Caenorhabditis elegans: one gene and its partner. The protein of the gene in region 1 purifies or fractionates together with the protein of each later gene. This does not show direct contact. Each region holds a gene or a part of one and is shown on either strand. Other genes may lie near its edges.

Region 1 (3,755 bases):
CTTTGACTTAGTGTACGAGGAGGGCATGTTGCCAGAGAGAGCTAGAAAGCGAGAAAAGATGCGCGCTCTGGATGTTTTGAGTAGATCGAATTTCAAAAAAGAAAGTCGTGAAGAGTGTGAGCATTCGGTAGGTCGGAGGTCTTGTAAACACGTATTTTGTTTGCATGTTTCATTTGTTCGCCCCCCCTCCCATCCAATTTTTGACAAATATATACATGTACATATAAAAATGAGGCGGGAAGATTGAGCAGGAGAGAGAGAGGGCGCGCGGGTAAGCTGGAATCGTTATTTGTCGCATAGCAACCGGGGGAAGAGTCCAATAGAGTAAAGGTATGTACACTAGTCATGTGAATTTTGAAGTTGAAAATTTAGCTACTAGGAATTTTTAGTAGAGGAAAAGGCAGTGTCGAAAACAATCGAGAACACAAATTCTTCAATTGTTTTTGTTTTTCGAAAAATATTGAGCACACATTATTTTATTGCTCCAGTGACTAGTGACTATTGCATTTCCTATTTACCAAGTATAGTAAATATGACTTAAACAAGAGCTTCCTTGGAGTTTTCCACCGATTTCGAAGAGGAAAAAAAAGAGAAGGAAGGGTGGACAATTGCGACTTTTTTGCTGAGCGGGCTCGCGCGGATGGCCTGCTCTTTTTTTTTCATTCCCCTTTCTAGGCAAGAGGTAAACAAGTAAACAGAGTGTGAGCCAGAGAGATGGAGAAGAGCGAGTGGAGCACGACGACGACGACATCAACATTGCCCATCGCCACGGGCCACGCCTTCTTTGGAGTGGGGCGCGCGTACTCTGGTGGCTTGAGCCATCGATCTGGGAGGGCGCCCTCTCTGTGTTGTTGTCGACAACAACAAACGACCAGAACGAAATACGGAAGAGGGGAAGAAGACGACGTTGGCCGATCGTTGTGCTCCAGCAAGGACAAGACCGCGGTTGAGCCGTGCTCTCTCTCTCTCTCTCTCTCTCTCTCTCTCTCTCTCTCTCTCTCTCTCTCTCTCTTTCTCACTTCAATTCTGGGAAACTGCCTAATGATGGCTGCTATCTTTTTGAAAAGTTGCGTAAGAATGGTGGATGAGTAGTGGGAAGTTGTTTGGAAGTAGAGCTTGACTGAGTACTTATACGAACATCGTATACTTTTTCCTAGATTTAATTCCCTAAAAAAGTATAAATTTTGAGGAAACAACATTAGTTTTGAAAGACGGTCTCACACATAATCCTCTACACTCACTTCACACTTTTTGAATTTCGAAACAAAAAACATCGCGATAGTAAGGCGAACTGTTATTTTAACCCCCTTTGATTCCGCAACAAGCTTTTTGTTGATAAGGTGATGGAAATACCCTTATCTACTTCTCCACCCACTAACATTTGAACAAGAAAATTGCCGAAACAACACATATTATGTTTTTTCCTACTCACAGGGGACCGAATGTCGCCTAAAACATGGAACTCAAATTCTCTTTCGATTTATTTCTAGCGTTGAACGAGAAAATGAAAGAGGGAGAGAAAATGTGCCGACCTTCACGTTAGGAAAATAAGCTGCTGCCAAGCTGGATGATATATATGCATATGTCAATTCATTGGGGGGACCATGAATCAATTTTAGGAAAACCTTACCGGATTTGTGTTTTAGAAAAGAATAGAAAGGGCAGGTGATTGGCTGAGCTGCGAGCACAATGAAGAGAAAGTTTCTACCCTCGTTAAACAGATGCCGTTCTTCTTCTTCTCTTCTCGTCTGCTTCAATCGTTCACGTGTCTTTTTTCGTTGTTCCGCCGCTGCTGATTCTATGTCTTTGTCAAGCTTGCGCGACCAGAAGACAAAAAAGGAGTTCGCCGGTTGGCGCGTGTATGTGCACCCTGTCACTATTGATTTCTGGAGAGAATGTTTGTTGCTTTGGTTCAAAGAGTTGTTGTTGGATGGTGTGTGTGTGTGTGTGTGTGTGGCGAGAATTGCAAAAAAGGATAGCCGACACACACTAAAAAAGGAGGACAACTGGCTTGAAAGTTTGATGGGCATGTCGTCCTTTGCCCGGCTGGCATCATGTCCAAAAAAGTGACACGGACCACATACACGCACCAAAAAACGACCATTGTCAAGATTTTCCCGGGGATTTGGCGTTGCAGGGGTTTTATGCCCGTTTTGGAAATTGTTTTCAAAAGTTGGAAAAAACGGGAAGACTGCAACTGAAAGGACCTCAAAGGTGGAATAGCGTCAGTGGGGATTTTATCTAAATTTTTTATAATCATTCAAACAAATCAGATATCATAATAAAACACCTTTTCAACGTTTTAGGCAAAGTTCCAAATTGAATAAAAAATCAGTTTCTACGGTATGCTAGAATGTTTAAACACAAATAATTAAAGTCCAATTAGAGTAGAAAATTAGAAGAAATATGTTGTTATTTTACAATGATATTTTGGCATTTTGGCACCACATGAGCAGCTTTAAACCACTGAAGCCAATCCACCTTTAAGACAAAAAGTTTATCCCAAATTACATCTGGTCTTCAAAAACAAACAATTTTTCGTGGCATTTTTCAAATCGAACAAACCTAAAAGAATTGAAGGAGACGAGAGAATACTGGCTCTGGTTGCTATTCTAGGAAAGGTGCTGCTGGTTCGCACCCCGATTCGCCCATTGACTTTAATAGAATTGCTCTCTCGCTCAGTGTTGCCAATGTTTCGCTCACTCCTATAATTGCTACTCTCTTGGTCCGAAGCAATTGTGAGCCGCCGGTTTCCTTTGCGCCGCGCTGACCGCCGCCACTCATCGTATTTTTTCACGACACTCATTTTCGATTCTCAGAAAACAACATAGTCAATGACTTTTCTCTGCTCTCGAAATGGCAGCCAATTGAAATTGGTGTCGATGAAGGGAAAAAAGGCTCTCTAGTAGAGCAAAATGTTGTTGAAAACGTGCACATAAGGGAGACGAAAATAAGGTTGTCAAAGAATGCGAATTAGAAATTAAGTCGGTCGAAGAGCAAAAATTGCGACGAAGAAAATGTGGCAAGAATTTTGTAACGATGCACATTTATCCCATTCTGATGTGAAAATGACTCAAACGTATTACTCAAAACAACGAAAAATCCGCAGATCTTCTTGGATTACAAACTGAATGATTTGCGAAGTGTAATGATTCCCTTTGGCATAAGTGTATGTGTATGTATGTTGCCGTTACCGGTTTTTCGGGTCAATGGACTTTGAAAGAACAACACATCGCGGGGGAAAGAAGGACGATGAAATAATATTCAACTCGATGATGCGCTGCTGTTGTTGGAGGGCCTAGGTTGTTGGTAGTGTTGGCGCATGAGTGCTTAGCGTACTACTGAAATAATTATGTGTAGTCGTCGTCCATTTTCCTGCCGTAGATGTGTCGATTTGGCTGGTTATATGGTTATACAGGCGGACTTGGAAGAGGGGTGTCAAGTACATACAAATCCCGAAGCATATAGAATGCATGATATACATAAATGTTTACAATTTGATAGCCAAGACTAACTGATTACTTTTTGCAGGGATACCTGTCAGAAGTTGGAGCTTCACTTGTGGATGAGAAGCTCAAGCTGGGAATCGTACCACCAACCGGGGTGGTTGAACTGGCGGCTCCAACTTTCTACTATGACCGTATTGACCGGGCGAAAGCACGGACGAAGGAGAGAATTCAATCAAGATATCCAAATATTGGAAGACGATTTCATCGAATTGGACTACCGGAAAAGGTGAGCAATTTTTTGTTGGA
Region 2 (3,755 bases), on another chromosome or scaffold:
GTGTTGTTGGTTCCACTCTTCAATCATATCAAATCTGAATTCATTTAATCTTTTTTAGAAGCATATAAATAGTTACCGGAAGTCATCACCATGCATCATAAGAATCACCGGCGCCTTGTACATTTCGGACATTTTTTCAAGTTGGTTGACGAGTTTTTCAGCCCTGAAATAAGGTTTGTGTTACGTATCCTCTATTATACATACCGTATTTTCCCTATTTGCACTAAAAATTAACGATCGAAAAGCGTACTTGCAGCTGAATACTTACTTTGCAGCCACATTAGCATTCGTAATTTTTTCAGGCTTCGGCCCAGGACACGACCAATGTGTCATTCTCTTAAAATCAAATTCACAGCAGACCGAAGCATCGGAACCACACGAATTGAGAATGTCATAATGTGTATATGGTAGGATTTGGGTTAATACGTCATCTTCTCCAGTTGCATCAAAATATTGCCGCCATTTGAATGGAATTGCCTTTTGACTTTGCAATGTTTGCTTCAACTTGTGATGAATTCGGTTTATTACAGTTCTATGAACGCCTGAAGTAAAAAACAATTATCAGTAAATTTATAGATGTTCAAACCTGATTTTTTGAATAAATATGGAACGGAATTCGAGTACCCAAATGGATCATTTGACCACATTGTTTGGGGTTTGATACCTGAAAAATAGAAATTTGGAAGTTTAAGAATCCGGAGGATCATATGGTATACCAAAATTCTTATGGATGAATTGAAATCCTTCAACAATATTATCGACGGAAACTGGGAAATACGGATTTGCTTCATCCGTCATAACCCATGAGCCTGTTGCCAGTTCAAGACGACCTTCCGTAACTAATCTGAAATTTTCGGAATTTTTGGAAGTTAAACTCGCTCGATGTCTACAAGGTAGATTTACATATTTACATTATCTGATTCCAATCAATAATGTTAGTTTTTAAAAAGTTTCAATTTTTGTAGTAGGCACGAACTTACTTCTTGACGTCTTCCTTAACTTGCTCGTTTTGCAACGACCACCATCGTTCAAAAAACACAAATTCCGCCCACATAAATCTCATTTTCTCATTTTTCATCATAAACTGATGCATATTGTCCAAAATTTGATTCGTACTTTTTGTATATCTTTCGAATGTTTCGAGCCATCCTGGTTGCAAAATTAATCATAATTTAATAATTATCAACAAAAAAACCTACCAGGATCTACATGTGTAAATGGAAGCACATAAACTTTCAACTTCTCAGTTCTTGATTTCTTTGAAGCCGGTGGAAGTGTATTTCCTTTGGCAACAACTGACTCAAATAGGTCAAAAGTCTGTAAAAATTAAAAAGTAGTTTTTTCGATAATTTTTCTGATACTCACATTAAAATTGGTAGAAGACTCTGTGAGTGGTCGTTGGCAGACTTCATTTTTTGGTTCGAAAATATTTGGATTCTTTTGACTGTTTGATAGATTATTGGCTTCTTTTACAAAAGATCGCATGTTGACAACTCGTGAAATGTGAAGCTCATTATTATGCTGAAACAAAATATATTACAGATTCTTGCTCATTTGAAAAATTGTTCACAAACCTGTCCTAATCTTTGATGATATGCCAATAAAAATGTGAAGAGAATAGCAAAAAAATAAATAGAAACAGTTTTCGGATTGAGTAGTACTTTCCGTTTGGCTGATAACGCAAGTCGGTGCATTTTTTGTATGCTGAAAAAAAAACCAATATAGTTCTAGAAAGAATATAGTTGTTTTGAAAAGAGAAAGCATTCCACAAATTATGTGGGAAATTTAATAGGATTGAAATACAAAAGGAGGTAGCGTTTGGTTTGAACAGCTGAAATGGGGAAAAGGAGGTGAAAAAGTGTGTGCATTGAAGAGGACACATAAAATTATAGGATATGGTTGTTTTAGGAACATTTTATGAGTAGTAAAAGAATGCCAACTCACGGGCGGTTTTAACGCAGAAATAGCTGCTGCAAAAAAATCTCCATGGGATTGAACGTGAATTTATTTTTGCCCAATTTTTGTTCTCGTTTTTTATGTTTAAAAACTTTTTTTAGTTTTAGCAAACTATATATTTTTTTAAGTTATAAGAATTTTATATTCAAATTGTAATCAGTTGATATCAGTTTTGGCAATTTGATTTTTGACAATTTTAACCGAGTTTATCACAAATAGTTCAATTTTTAAGCTCAAAATTACTAAATTATGCCAAGTTTAATTTTTTAATTTTCAAAATTAAGTTACGTTTGAAAATAGTTATAAAAATAGAAAAAATAGAAAATAGAAAATAGTAGAAAATAGAATTAAAAAATACCAATAAAAGGAATTTGTTCAGTTTTGCAGTTGATAAAATATTGAGAAAAAAAACTTGCAGCGGATTTTGATGAGAAAAATGGTTCAGGAATAATTTTCAAAATAATTTGAAATATTTCTTTGGAGTTTTTGACCATCGGATTCAAGTTCTCTCCAAGTTTGGGCAAATCGGAGTCATCTGAAGTGAAAATCCCGAAAAATCAAATTTTGCTATGAAAAAAAAGCAAACCAGCTTCCCAAAATAAAACGAATATACAAAGCACACCAAAAAGTTTCGTGGCACACAGATTTTTATGAAATGTAAAATTCCGATAATGCTTTCATACAGTGATGCATTTTATTGGAAATATAATAGATGGAAACGAATGGAGAGAAGAGAAATATACACTCACATTGCCTTTGAATTTTTAGCTGTGAAAGCGAGACGGTTCGTCATTTTTTGTGAACTTTTTAAATATGATATATGGTGGATTATTGGTTTTGGAAGTTTTTTTGTAAGTTAATTTGTTAAAGTTTATATAACACAAATTAATTATGGAAATATTATAATCAATTCCTCGTTTTTAATCAGCGACAAAATTAATAAATATTTTTTTAATAGAAGATATTTTGCAAAATGTTTCAATCAATTACATAGAAGTAGCACAAATCAAAAATTCATGAATTTTTCCTTTCAATTTGAAAGAACGCCGGAAGCAAAAAAACCAAAGGGGTCGGTAATTTTTCTGAATACCCAAATAGAGAATAACTTAAAATTTAATACACTTTTGTTAGCAGAAAGTTTTGAAAGGTGGTGTAGACGAAATTGAGGCTATGTTTTAAAACATGATATATGTTTTGACAAAAAAAAATGTATAAGCGAAACACAAGCGGACGTATGTAGCTTCGAAATGTCGAACAAAATCACTGTTACCAATTTTAGTGGATTTTTCTAATGATTGTCACTGAATATTTAAAATAAATACGTTTCTAATAATCTGACAACTAAATGCCATCCTAATCGCTCCAAAAATTTTTAGATTTTCAAAAAAAAATTTGCCAGTTTTAGTAAATTGGCAAATCTACCAAACATGTATCAATGTTCCATCTTACAACTTTTAAAAAGAATATTAAATACTGTACTTAGAAAACAATTTTTTCGGCATGTACTCATTTGAATCTCATCAACACATTCATGAGTTTTTTCAACAAAAATTTTAAAAAATCAACTTTTAGTAATATTAACAATATAAATTTTATTTTGTGAATAAGACAAATATATAGAGAAACAATTAAATGCGAATAACTAATTACGGGATTTACGATTTGAACTAGCACTTTTGTTCTTATTTGACCTGGTTGCTACAAGCCAAAAAAACGGGGAAATTGGAAAACACGATGCACAGAGAAAAAAGGGATGAAAAAGAGAAAAGGGATTAAATATATTGTTGTGAATAATAATT

Evidence for each region.
Region 2: the proteins of lfi-1 (region 1) and aman-3 fractionate together in Caenorhabditis elegans (co-fractionation; one large-scale study listed by BioGRID). This does not show direct contact.

The regions. Positions count from the first base shown.
Region 1 is NC_003284.9:4,979,371-4,983,125, reverse strand, and holds the start of lfi-1 (Rootletin-like coiled-coil domain-containing protein), read right to left. Parts: upstream 1,887-3,755; 5' UTR 1,631-1,886; intron 1-1,630. Other genes in the region: ZC8.6 (Phosphatidylinositol 4-kinase type 2), read left to right, coding at 3,532-3,735.
Region 2 is NC_003279.8:5,323,505-5,327,259, reverse strand, and holds the start of aman-3 (Alpha-mannosidase), read right to left. Parts: upstream 1,705-3,755; 5' UTR 1,695-1,704; coding exon 1,575-1,694; intron 1,522-1,574; coding exon 1,366-1,521; intron 1,318-1,365; coding exon 1,200-1,317; intron 1,150-1,199; coding exon 981-1,149; intron 845-980; coding exon 717-844; intron 665-716; coding exon 587-664; intron 543-586; coding exon 269-542; intron 164-268; coding exon 77-163; intron 35-76; coding exon 1-34.